3 linked regions of the Sus scrofa genome follow. The protein of the gene in region 1 purifies or fractionates together with the protein of each later gene. This does not show direct contact. Links are inferred from orthologs where the notes say so. Each region holds a gene or a part of one and is shown in the gene's direction. Other genes may lie near its edges. The genes, in order: GRB2, PTPN12 and DOCK4.

The links.
Region 2: the proteins of GRB2 (region 1) and PTPN12 purify together in Homo sapiens (affinity purification with mass spectrometry; 3 studies listed by BioGRID and IntAct, with this or other methods). This does not show direct contact. The link is inferred for Sus scrofa from reciprocal best matches to the Homo sapiens genes GRB2 and PTPN12.
Region 3: the proteins of GRB2 (region 1) and DOCK4 purify together in Homo sapiens (co-immunoprecipitation; 4 studies listed by BioGRID and IntAct, counting the BioPlex papers as one, with this or other methods). This does not show direct contact. The link is inferred for Sus scrofa from reciprocal best matches to the Homo sapiens genes GRB2 and DOCK4.

The regions. Positions count from the first base shown.
Region 1 is NC_010454.4:5,939,857-5,943,603, forward strand, and holds the start of GRB2 (growth factor receptor-bound protein 2), read left to right. Parts: upstream 1-866; 5' UTR 867-997; intron 998-3,747. UniProt on the Homo sapiens protein: Non-enzymatic adapter protein that plays a pivotal role in precisely regulated signaling cascades from cell surface receptors to cellular responses, including signaling transduction and gene expression.
Region 2 is NC_010451.4:102,561,115-102,564,861, reverse strand, and holds the start of PTPN12 (tyrosine-protein phosphatase non-receptor type 12), read left to right. Parts: upstream 1-1,116; 5' UTR 1,117-1,223; coding exon 1,224-1,322; intron 1,323-3,747. UniProt on the Homo sapiens protein: Dephosphorylates a range of proteins, and thereby regulates cellular signaling cascades. Dephosphorylates cellular tyrosine kinases, such as ERBB2 and PTK2B/PYK2, and thereby regulates signaling via ERBB2 and PTK2B/PYK2.
Region 3 is NC_010460.4:33,860,147-33,863,793, forward strand, and holds part of DOCK4 (dedicator of cytokinesis protein 4), read left to right. Parts: intron 1-76; coding exon 77-253; intron 254-992; coding exon 993-1,076; intron 1,077-3,647. UniProt on the Homo sapiens protein: Functions as a guanine nucleotide exchange factor (GEF) that promotes the exchange of GDP to GTP, converting inactive GDP-bound small GTPases into their active GTP-bound form. Involved in regulation of adherens junction between cells.

The DNA.
Region 1 (3,747 bases):
CGAGAACGCTTTTCTGAGATGGGAGGAGCGGCGACCCCTCGCCTCTCCTCAGCCTTCTCCAAATAATTCTGACCGTACTTATGGTATTATTTGTTCTTTCCCTCCTATAGATCTTGAATTCGTTTCTGTGCAGAAAGGGCCCGGATTTCTGTTCTTAGTTGGACCCTCTATACTTGACACAGTGCTTAGAATGTACTAGGCACTTGGTTCAATCGATGAGCGAACGAATATGTTCATTCACCTAACGCAGCAGAGTTTGTTTGGACCAGATTCTCAAATATTTCCAGACCTGATCCTCTATTTGGCTTGCTTCACGTGGGAGGGAGATTCCCCCCCAACCCCGCCAAACTGGGTTGGTGGAAGGGGAAAACGAAGTGATTAGGGTGTGCATAAAAGTCCTTTCTTGGCTGGGGGAAAAATGTAATTGTAATGTATACATGTAAGGATAACCTGACCCCCTTGCTGTACAGTGGAGAAATAAAAAAAAAATAAGTTGATATCGGCCATCAAAAGTAATATGACAATTGAATCATGCAAATGTGGGGCATAAAAAAAAAAAAGTCCTTTCTTTCGGAGGTGAGTTGTAATTGACCCGCTCTGGCACCGAAAGGGTTACGGCGACCCAGGGGTGGAGCCCTGTCGGTGCCACCTGCTGCGGGGCGGCCTGGCGCCTGCGCTCTGGCCTGTAGCTGATCTACCTGCGGGGGGCCTGGCGGAGGAGGAGCGCTTGCGCTCTGGGCCTTTTCCGCCGGGGGAAGTCTCGCGGGGGCGGGGCGGGGCGGGGCCGCACAGGGAAGTTCTCGCGGGACCCCGACCAGGAGCGGAAGCGAGGCGGCTGTGCTGCTTCAGCTACCGGACCGCGGCGGCGACGACGAAGACTGTGGCGGTGACGGCGGCGAGAATAGGCGCTGCCCTCGGGGAGCAGCAGAGGGGTCTGCGGCCGCTCGCACCGCTGCAGAGGGGCCGGCCGGGCGTGGAGCGGAGCAGCTGCGCCACGGTGAGTGTGGCTGGCGGCGACGGCGCTGCTCGCGTGCTGCTTCCTCCCCGCTTCGTCGCGGGAGTCGGCCCCGGGGGACCGGGCCCAGGGTACCGTGGGCTGCCGGGCCTGGGGGTCGGGAGTGCGAGGCTCCGGGCGGGGAGCGGAGCGCCCGGGCTCCGGGCTCCATGTTTCCCCTTTTGGGGCGCTTCCTTCCCGGGGACCGTCCTCTCAGTACCCTTGGCTTGGAACAGAGCCCTGGACGAGAGGCTGGGGGCTCCTGATTTAATTTTATGCTTTCTTCGTGAAGGTTTGCACAGGGGGGACCCGGAGAAGCCCGAGAACACAGGGTAATCATTCTGTGAGTCAGTGTGACTTGGCCCGGGAGGCGGGGGATTCGAGGCGGGTTGCAAATATGGTGATTGATGCTCCTTCGACCTATACGGCCACCACGTCACCAACTCCTGGTGTTTGGGGGCCGAATTTTGGGAGGAAACCCACCAACCCTATTAATACTGTGAGCGAGGACGTTTGTTACCGGAGCCAGTAGAAATACCTTTACTTTTATTGCGCTTTTTTTTTTTTTTTGACTGCTTCCCTAAAAACATTTGTTAAGAAAAGTAAGCAGCAGTTAATCGGAATGCTCCGAAGAAAGATTTCCGTGATCGAGGGCAGAGAATCGCTGGCACTTTTCATTTGCAGCTCTCTCTGTGTATAGGATTGTAAAGCCATGCTAGTTAACAGCTTATTTAGGGAGTTCACCTAGGCTGGCTTCAGATGCAGCAAAAGTATACTTTGCAGAAGAGCCGAAGTGCCCTCGCGGGTTCTGTCTTTTGCTACTCTTGAGTCTCAGAAGAGGGTGGAAAAGAAAGGCGCACTAGAGAAATTCGCTTTAGTCTTCTGGGCTTTCTAGTCCCTCTGTTCACTTTGCACTCCACAGTTGCTGCCTTTCTAAACTTCTCCCTTGTCTTCTGCGGCCACGAAATGCTTACTCCGTATAATGCAAGTCACTTGCCCCCTCCCCCCTTTTAGTCTAATCTACTTCCCCTTCCTCCTTATTGTCCCTTTTGGCATAATTTTTTGAGGTTTCTGCTCTTTCGCCCGTTCGTTTTTCTCCCTCATTTAAAGATTCCGTTTCTCTCCCGGAAAGATGATGCCCTCTTCCCTGCTTTATCCTTTGCTGTGAAGCGTCCACTGTGTTTCTTCAGTCAGCCAGAAGGGTTGCTAGAGAGCTGTGCGAGACTTAAGGTCTCCCCCTGGGAGCTGGGAGGCTCAAAGGATTGAGTTCAGCCGTAACCAATACTGCACTAATACTGCACTAGATCACAAGTGTAGCTTGCTGGTGTTTTTGTGTTTTAGTTGTTTTTTTTCACTTTTAGATCGCATTTTTGTGCCTGCTCAGGTTTTTCTATGTCTCTCTTATGTTAGTAAGGAAGATTGGGTCAATTTGGGGCTCATATGCCTTCTTTTTGGCTTTTAGCGGGGGAGGCGACTTAAAAAATGAAAACCAACCATAGACACCTATATTACAATCAAGAGAGCTTGAACCATTTAAGGGAATAGAATTTATTTAGACTACTGATGAATTAATTAAAGCTTGCCTGTTGGAGTAGTACTAACTTATTCTTTCCCAGGCTTTTAAAGATCAGGTGTCTCTTCCTGCATCTGCTATAAGCAGCCTTCTTTGTTATTGTTGCTGGGCTTGAGGGGGGAAGGCGGTTGACAGAAAGAAATAACTATGTTCTGTTGGCCTTTCCTTTGTTTAAAATGTTCTGAATCCCCCAAATTTAAAAAGGTTAATTCTTGTAATCAGCTTTGTTTGTTACTAAAAGCAAGCACTCAAATGCTTGAGGCAGTTTACTTCCTCAGCAAGTGTGTTCAGATTTGAGGGATTACTAGGTTTTTCAATACAACTAATTGATGGTACTTAGAGATTTTTCCCCGAAATTCTTGTTACCATGTTGCACATTGTGTAGCAACAGTTCTAATGGTTACTTAGAACAAAAAAGTAATAGATTTTGGAGAAATGAAGTAATACGGAATAGAGACCCACTATGGTTTCCTGAGAGAAATTAATAGTTATTCGCTTAATTCAGAAGACATTTCTGGCACTCCTGAATGACTATTGAGAGCCTTTGTTTTTTTTTTGTTTTTTGTTTTTTGTTTTTTTTTTGTCAAAGTTGGCTTTTTCACAGTTGTGCCAAGTGGATAGGCGTTATTTTCAATTTATGCAAAGACATTATGCATCATCTGAGATGTAAACTTTAAAATCTGGTAAAGATACCTTTACAGTACAGCATGATTTTTTAAATTTAGCATGCATAAGAATTACCTATGAATCTTAACTTAAAATTAGGTTCTGGAGTTCCCGTTGTGGCTCAGTGGTTAACAAACCTGCCTAGGATCCACGAGGACGAGGGTTCGATCCCTGGCCTCGCTCAGTGGGTTAAGGATCCAGTGTTGCTGTAAACTGTGGTGTAGGTCGCAGATGCGGCCCCATCCCACATTGCTGTGGCTGTGGTGTAGGCCAGCGGCTTCAGCTTCAATTCTTCCCCTAGCCTGGGAACTGCCATATGCCACAGGTGCAGCCCTAAAAAGACAGAAGACCAAAAAAAGAAAAAAAAAATTAGGTTTTGGGCCTAAGGCCACTGTGCTGCAGAACTTCAGAAGGCACCTCGTAGTGAATCAGTCCCTGAAAGAGGTGATTTTGATGTAGCTGGTCCAAGGACCAAAACTGTTGTTACAGAATGCATCCATAAATTGAGATGGTA
Region 2 (3,747 bases), on another chromosome or scaffold:
TTTCTTTAGGGTGGATAATCTCGGATTACTAGAAAATTCACGACGATGCATTCTACGAAGAAAAGCCTATTATTCAGTTCCGAGGTGCTGCGAATATAAAGGCAAGAAAAAATCCTTTCAATTCAGCAAACACTGAGTGCCTATCACATGCGTGGTATGTATTAGGACGCACCCCGCACTTCAGGCGCTCACTCGGCAGGGTTTAAACACAACTGCAAAAGGGTTAAGTCCTGTCACTGAAGAAGCATTTCGCTTCTCTTGGCCTTGGTCATTACCCAAAGTGCCAACGTCTAACTGCAGTCAACCTTAAGATGAAGACGTACCTGCAGCGAACGTGGAGTCAACGCTACTACAGTTCCCAGCATGCCACTCTTCCCACAACGCCCTCTCCCGCCCCCATTCCTGGACTCCTGAGAACCCGGACTTGTAGTCCCAACTCAAGGCTGGCGGCGACGGCGAAGCACTCTAGAAATGTGCTTTTCGCACTAGTAAGCAGTGAGACCGTAATTTCCAACTCAAGTCCTACTCCAACTGACTAGGGCTTGCCATTTAGCCTAACACCCTCATTCTAGCGCTCCTCAGACCTACTAGCTGCCGGGGTGGGACCACGCCCCGGAAGTGGAGTCAAGTCTCCCAGCCGACTGCCGAAGCTTCTTCCAGCCACTCCTAGCCCGGCCAGAGCCCGCGGGGCGGGCTCCGGGGCGTGGACTGCGGGGGCGGCTAGGCGCGGCGTCGCGCCAGGGGCGGAGCCGCGGCACGGGGCCGCGCGTCTGGGTGGCGGCGGGGGCGCGCCCGTGGGGAGAGGCGGCTGCGGCTGCTGCTGCTTGTGGGGAGGGAGGGAAGGAGGAACCGGGAAGGGGTGGGGGGGGCAGGGCGATCGGAGAGCCGTGTTCCTAAGGCGGTGGCGGCGTCTCCGACGGAGCTGGAGGAGGGCGGGGAAGGAGGATGGGGCACGCAGGGGGTTGGGGTTGGCGCTAGCCGCAGCGGCTCGCCTCGTACTGTGGGAGAGCGGCGGCTGCTCCTGCAAGTTGTAGGATCAGGAGCCGGCCGCCGCTGCCGCTGCCGCTGCCGCTGCCTCGGGCAAAGAGGAGGAGTAGGGAGCGGCGGGGGTCGGGAGGGAGGGGACGGGCTGGGGGAGCGAGCTGGGGAAGACTGAGCGGGCTCTGCGCCGGGCGGGCGGGCGGCGGGGGGGCCGGCGACCGCAGCCGGGGGGACGCGGGAGGATGGAGCAAGTGGAGATCCTGAGGAAATTCATCCAGAGGGTCCAGGCCATGAAGAGTCCGGATCACAATGGGGAGGACAACTTCGCCCGGGACTTCATGGTGAGTCCCTCCCCTCGCTGTCGCCTCCTTTCGCCGGCACCGGAGCCCACTGCCGCCTTGCCCAGCCGGCCCGGGCCGCCAGTGCTTTGTGTGCGGCTGTAAGGAGAGGGGCGGAGGCGGCGCGCACCAGCTCCAAAGGCCGGGTGGTCTCGGAGGCCAGCGGGAGGTGAGGTCGCCTCCGCCCCTCGGCCTCCTTTCCTCTCTTCCCGCGATCGCGTCCCTTTCCGCCGGCGTCTGGGACGCGAAGGGAGAGGCGGCCGGCCGAGCCCGCACTCAGCACCGCCGCCCGCGACCACCTATTGTTTCTCGGGCCGGGAGCCCGAGGCGAATGAGGTGCAGGCCGGGGGGCTAGTCTTTCCTCACCTCCCCGTCCAGACCGCCCCTGCTGGGAGGGTCGAGGCAGGGAGGAGAGCGATCTTGGCTGACGGCAGAACGTGGCTATTAAGATTGCAATTAACTCACGGGGTCCCTTTGCTCAAGCTGGGCTCAGAAGTGGGCAAGGTAGGACTTTTGCCGTTTCTGGACTGGCAATTATTATCTCCAACGCATGGGAAAGGATTGCTCGAAAGAAATCTCTTGGTTTACTCAATTTCTTTTTACCCGTCTCGTCGCTTGAGACCCTGGTTTGAGATGGTGTTGGGGTCAGCGTGACTTGAGGTCGAGGGGGTAAAGTGTATGTGTAGAGGCGGGGGTGGTTATCCTGAAGCCTACTTCAGACTCCCTAGGGGATATTGCTGAAGGCGGAGGGGATGTGACTATCACTTCCTATCCGGGGTGGGGGTGGGGAACTTGGGAACAATAGTCCTGGTGGGGCGGAGGCGACGGTAAGGGCCGAAGCCCTGAACTGGGAGATAACCTCCGAGGCCTACCCCCATCCTAACCCCCCTTCCCACCGCTTCCGCCCTCTGCTTGTGCTGGCGGGCTGGAGACGAGGTTAAAAGTCTTGTGCGTGAAATTGCTCTTGGGTCATCACTGTGATGGGGTCAGAACCGAAGGCGTGGGACCAGAAGTCGACTTCCTCCATTACCCCCCCCCCTTTATTTTTCTGCTGGACAATGTTCCCTTTAGGGTTGTTTCTCGGTTTAGGAGGCGGTGGTTGCGGCTGCTGCTCCTGCGGATGTTGCGCAAGACTGGGGCGTTGGAAACCCTGGAGGTCTGGGGAATGGAAAAGGAAGTGGGACTTTGGGAAGTGGTTGCTCCTTAGACTTGGCGGAGTTTGGGAATGGGAAATACGCTAGGGAAAATTTTGCTCCGGGGCTAGATACACGAAGAATAATCACTTAAGTCTGAAATTGTGGATCGTAAAAAGGATACATAGTTTATGTCTATAAAAAGGACTGAGCAGCAAACGTTGACTTGTTTTTTGTTTCAAAGTACAGTTTAATTGTTTACAAGGTGCAGGTGAAATGGCTTTTAGTACTAAAATGCCTTTTCACATTTTAAAGAAACTCCAATCTAGTAAATTTTTAATGTTAAAATTGTTAACACCTATATATATATAAGATCCCTGACCTTACACAATATTGTAACAGTATTGTTGAGCTTTGTTGATTCCCTCCTCCCTAGACCAATAATAGAGGCTAGGAGGTAGGTTTCCATAGTATCTTTTCAAGGTGGAAAAAAATATTGATTAAATAATTTATGCCTATTTTAAACATTTTTCTCTTGTTATTTAGCCCATGTATTTTGAAAAACAAGTTTTTGATCTGAGAAGGTTAAGGAAAAGAGGACATTTTTCCCTCTTACCTCTGAGAATTTTGAATGTGTTGCTATTTTTGGAATGATACCACAGTAATTGAATGGAGTCCCCTTTTGACTCTCTAGCAAAAATAGAAAAAAATATTAACTTAGAATATGTTATATGTTTCAGACTAATTACAATCTTGTTTTGGTTATGGAAGAAGAGGTGATGTGGTCCCTGGCCACTTTTCCTCTCCATGCTAGTCTTCTTGCTATCCAGGAGCCTATCCTGTCAGGAAGGAGCATTGTTTGGAAATGCAGGCCATCAGGACAAATGCTCAGTCTCTGAACTCCTGTGCAGGGGAAGTGGCCTTAGGGTTCATGCTTTGGGGATGAGTCAGGGATTCCTATTGGAGATTTCTTTTCTCTAGGACTAAATGAGTTTCCTTTTTCTTCTGGGATAGCTAGGTGATTCTACATGATTTGATGACTAAGGCTGTTCTTTTATAGTGCTTGCTTTCTTTATTCCGTGACTTGATAAGCTGTAGATATAATTAAGGCTGCTGGTTGTTGCTGTCTTTTCCCTTGACTAGAAGGCTGGAGGGAAACTATATCCTCTCTGCCATGGAAGAGCTGATAGAGTCTAACTTTTCTGTTCTTAAATTCTGACTGGATTAAAATGCAGTTTTAAATTTTAGCATTTTAGAATTGAGCCTTAAAGATAATCTAGCTATTATAACCCTAT
Region 3 (3,647 bases), on another chromosome or scaffold:
AACATGGATAATCTACTGTGTCTTTTTTCTTGAATGTCACAAAATCCAATATATATTTATGCTCATTTGTTCTCAGGTAGAAATGAGTCCTCTGGAAAATGCAATTGAAGTATTGGAAAACAAGAATCAGCAGCTGAAGACTCTGATTAGTCAGTGTCAGACCAGACAGATGCAGAATATTAATCCCCTGACCATGTGCCTGAACGGAGTTATAGATGCTGCGGTTAATGGTGGAGTTTCCAGGTATCAAGAGGTGAGGATTAGGTACTGATGTCTGAAAATTTTTATATGTGATGTCTTAAGGTTTCAGAAGTATTTTTTTCAAAATATACATGCACATCAGCCTGTTAACATAGGGCTGCAGTTAACGCAAACAGGTTTATTTTTTAAATAGAACATTAGTCATTTGTAATGCACACTTACTCCTTTTTTCAAAATGTGGTATTTTGAGGATAAAAGTGTGTGTGTGTGTGTGTGTGTGTGTGTGTGTGTGTATGTTTTATTGAATGAAGAAAAGTAGTGAGGGTAGCAGGATTGTTTAATAAATGTCTATGTACAACCATTTCCCTGAGCAAACAGTGGTTCTTGGACATAGAAAAATCTGACCCTGTTTGGAAGATACTGGACTTTTCACCTGCTGTCTTAGTTTTAAACAGAAAGGTACAGTAGCTTAGAAGGTGAGGCCACCATCTTGATCATTCAGAATCTTGAGGCAGTTTATTTTAGGATATAATGTCATAAAGCTTATTGATTTGCATTTGCTATTTCTTTGTTTTACCAAAATGCAAAGCGTGTATAATCTCTGATCTCATTTCAACAATAGTTTCCTTCTATTCCTATCTGACCAGCTGACCACACTCAGAATCACTTCCTCTGCCCCAAAAGTGACGGATAATGGTGTCATTTCTTTAAAGATGTTTTTAAACACAACTGTGTCTTTCACTTCCTTTGTAACACTCTTGAAGTAAACTGACTGTCCCTTCTCTTACTAGGCATTCTTCGTCAAAGACTATATCTTAAGTCACCCTGAAGATGGAGAGAAAATTGCACGGTTAAGAGAGCTGATGCTGGAGCAGGTAAGGGGGACAGAAGCCCATCGCCTTCCCCCCTCTTCTCTGTAGACATGTGTTTGCCTACCCAGAATCCCACCTACATGGCTTTCTACAATGCTAGCTTCTCACTGAAGCTAGCAGTCAAGGGTTATAGATTTGCTTGTAATATATCTCAATTTGCTAATCTCTACTTTTTCTTCCCACTTTGATGCAAACAAACACAAGCAAAAAAAAACTGTGAGTTGACAACAACAGCTCCTTCTAACAACTTCATGAAGTCTCTTCTTTGCATGCTCTTTCCCCAAGGGCTTGGTGCCCACTTTTCACTCAAGATTTGGGGATCGAATATGTTCAGGCCAACTCAAAATAAAATGATGTAATGAATGAATGAAATTCTTACTTAAACGTCACCATAAGGAAGTAGACAATCAATACCCTTTGCTTTAAAACAGTACCACGTTGTGCAGGCTAAGCCTATAGATTAGACGATATAGACAAAAACTAAATACAACCTCATCATTTTCTGCTTCAAGAAGCATAGTTTGTTTTTATTTCTTTGGTCCCATCAAGTATGAAGAACCAAAGTGAATAATCTGTTGCCTTTGTGCCCCTACTAATTATTAGCTCTTGGCCTGAAGATGGTTTGAAAACCTCTGAGGTGTGAGACATTATGGTTGGGAGGCTGGCTTCAATAGGAAATGAAGATATTTTATACCCATGAAAAATGGAACATGCATGATAAAATGTGAGAGAAGCGTCTCTTTCCTTGATAGTACCAAATAATACTTGATAATACCAAATTAATAAATAAAGCACACTCTTTTGGATTAGGAAATAACAAGGTCGTATCTAGTTTTATTTCACAGTTTATGCTCCATAGGCTTAGTCCTCAAACCTGCATACTGAAGGGAGAGAAATGGCCATGGACAAGGGCCATGGCTGGAAGAGGGTCAGTGATACCGCTTCTGGAAAAGAGAGAGGAATTACTAGACGCTGACCTGCAAGGAAATAGAGAATAAGTTAAATTCTCATTCTGGCCCTGGGGGTGATGTAGATTCTAGAAGGGAGTGGCTTAGGTAATCCAGTACTTGGGATTATGGAATGACCTTGGCCTTCGTGGATGTTTAAAAGTTTGCCCCACCCCAGGATTCTTACCTGGTGTATTCAGTCTGACTGAATTCTTTCCCTAGAAAAATCAAAGGGATTAGGAAACCGCTCAAGAAAAATAAAATCAGAGACCTTTGTTTCCTCCACATCCTGCCCAATTGTGTCCCTGGGGACTTGTGGCAAGAGCCAGGGCCTCAGAAGCATTAAATCTCCATCGCCTTGTGGTGGTGCAGGTCACCTTGGGCGGTCCACATCGCCTTTGTGGGACCGTGGAAAGCGGCCTGGGCTGGAGAGGGCCTGTCCTTCTCTGGACCGCCTCCTCTGTGAGCTGGTTCAGAGAACAGTTGTGGCGAGGCACTGCCCCACGGCTCCTTCCACAAAGGACTTGTGGCCTCCCAGCTGCTGGAAGCCACCTTGGGCTTGGGCTCAGGTCCTCAAGGATTGCCTCTGCTGCTGGGAGCCACCTAGCCTGAGTGGCCTGCATCCAGGGACTGAGGAGGGGACACCGAGCCTGGCCACGTGACAGACCATTAAAGGTTCAGCGCTCCCTTGGGGTCATGCCGTTGAGTTTCTTTTTTGGTCACGTCCCATCTCTGCCCTCCCTCCCTCCCACAGGCAGCGACCCCAAGGATCCATCCCCGTAGACAGCCTAATCTCCATGTCAGAGCCTGCTTCCGGGAGAAGCCAACCCAACGCTATCTGGGCCAAAGGGAGGGCCCCTCCCAGCTGGTGTCAGCGATGGAGGAGGCCCCTGCCCTTGGGCTCACCTGCTCCATCCCTCCTTCCCTCTCCACACACCACACTGGCCCTTTATGCCTTACACAGACACGCCACTCAAGCTGTTCCTTTCAAGGTGTCCTTGATGTTTATTTCAAGGCATTTTTATCTTTATGCAAATGTGCTGGTGGTGGTGGGGCCTCCAGAGCAGAAGGTGCCACACTTCTGACCCCTCAGGCAGGTGGCTGGGTGCTCTGACACTCCAGGGTCAGTCCTGTTCGACCTGAGCTTTCAACCTTGAATCTTCACAGGCTGTAAAGATAAAGGACTGTCGTGGTGATGTGTGATTTGTTTTCCTGTCAGCCTCTGGAATTTGTTCTTTTGACCACTGTAGTGCATTTTTTAAAATGTAAAAGACAGCTGCTACTCAAATCAAAGGAATTAAGCACTATTGATAGTTGAACAAAGCAAACTTGCAAGTTTATAGTCATCTCGGTTTAGGTCCTCACAGCAGGAAGACTTTTTAAAATAGCAGCTCTATCTTTTTGCATTATAATAAGTGAACAAGAATAATGTAAATTTTTTTTTTTTAACAAAAACAACTGAAGCATAGCAACTGTCATAGAATTCCTGTTCTCTTGTTACTTCCTCCCTGACAGATTTTGACAATCTGGGAGAGGAAGGGATGAGCACAGAAGAACCAGATGGGAGAGAGAAGGGTAGCATGGCAAAGAGGGTGCCACCCAAAAGGCGATCCCTCCAGGAGAACCA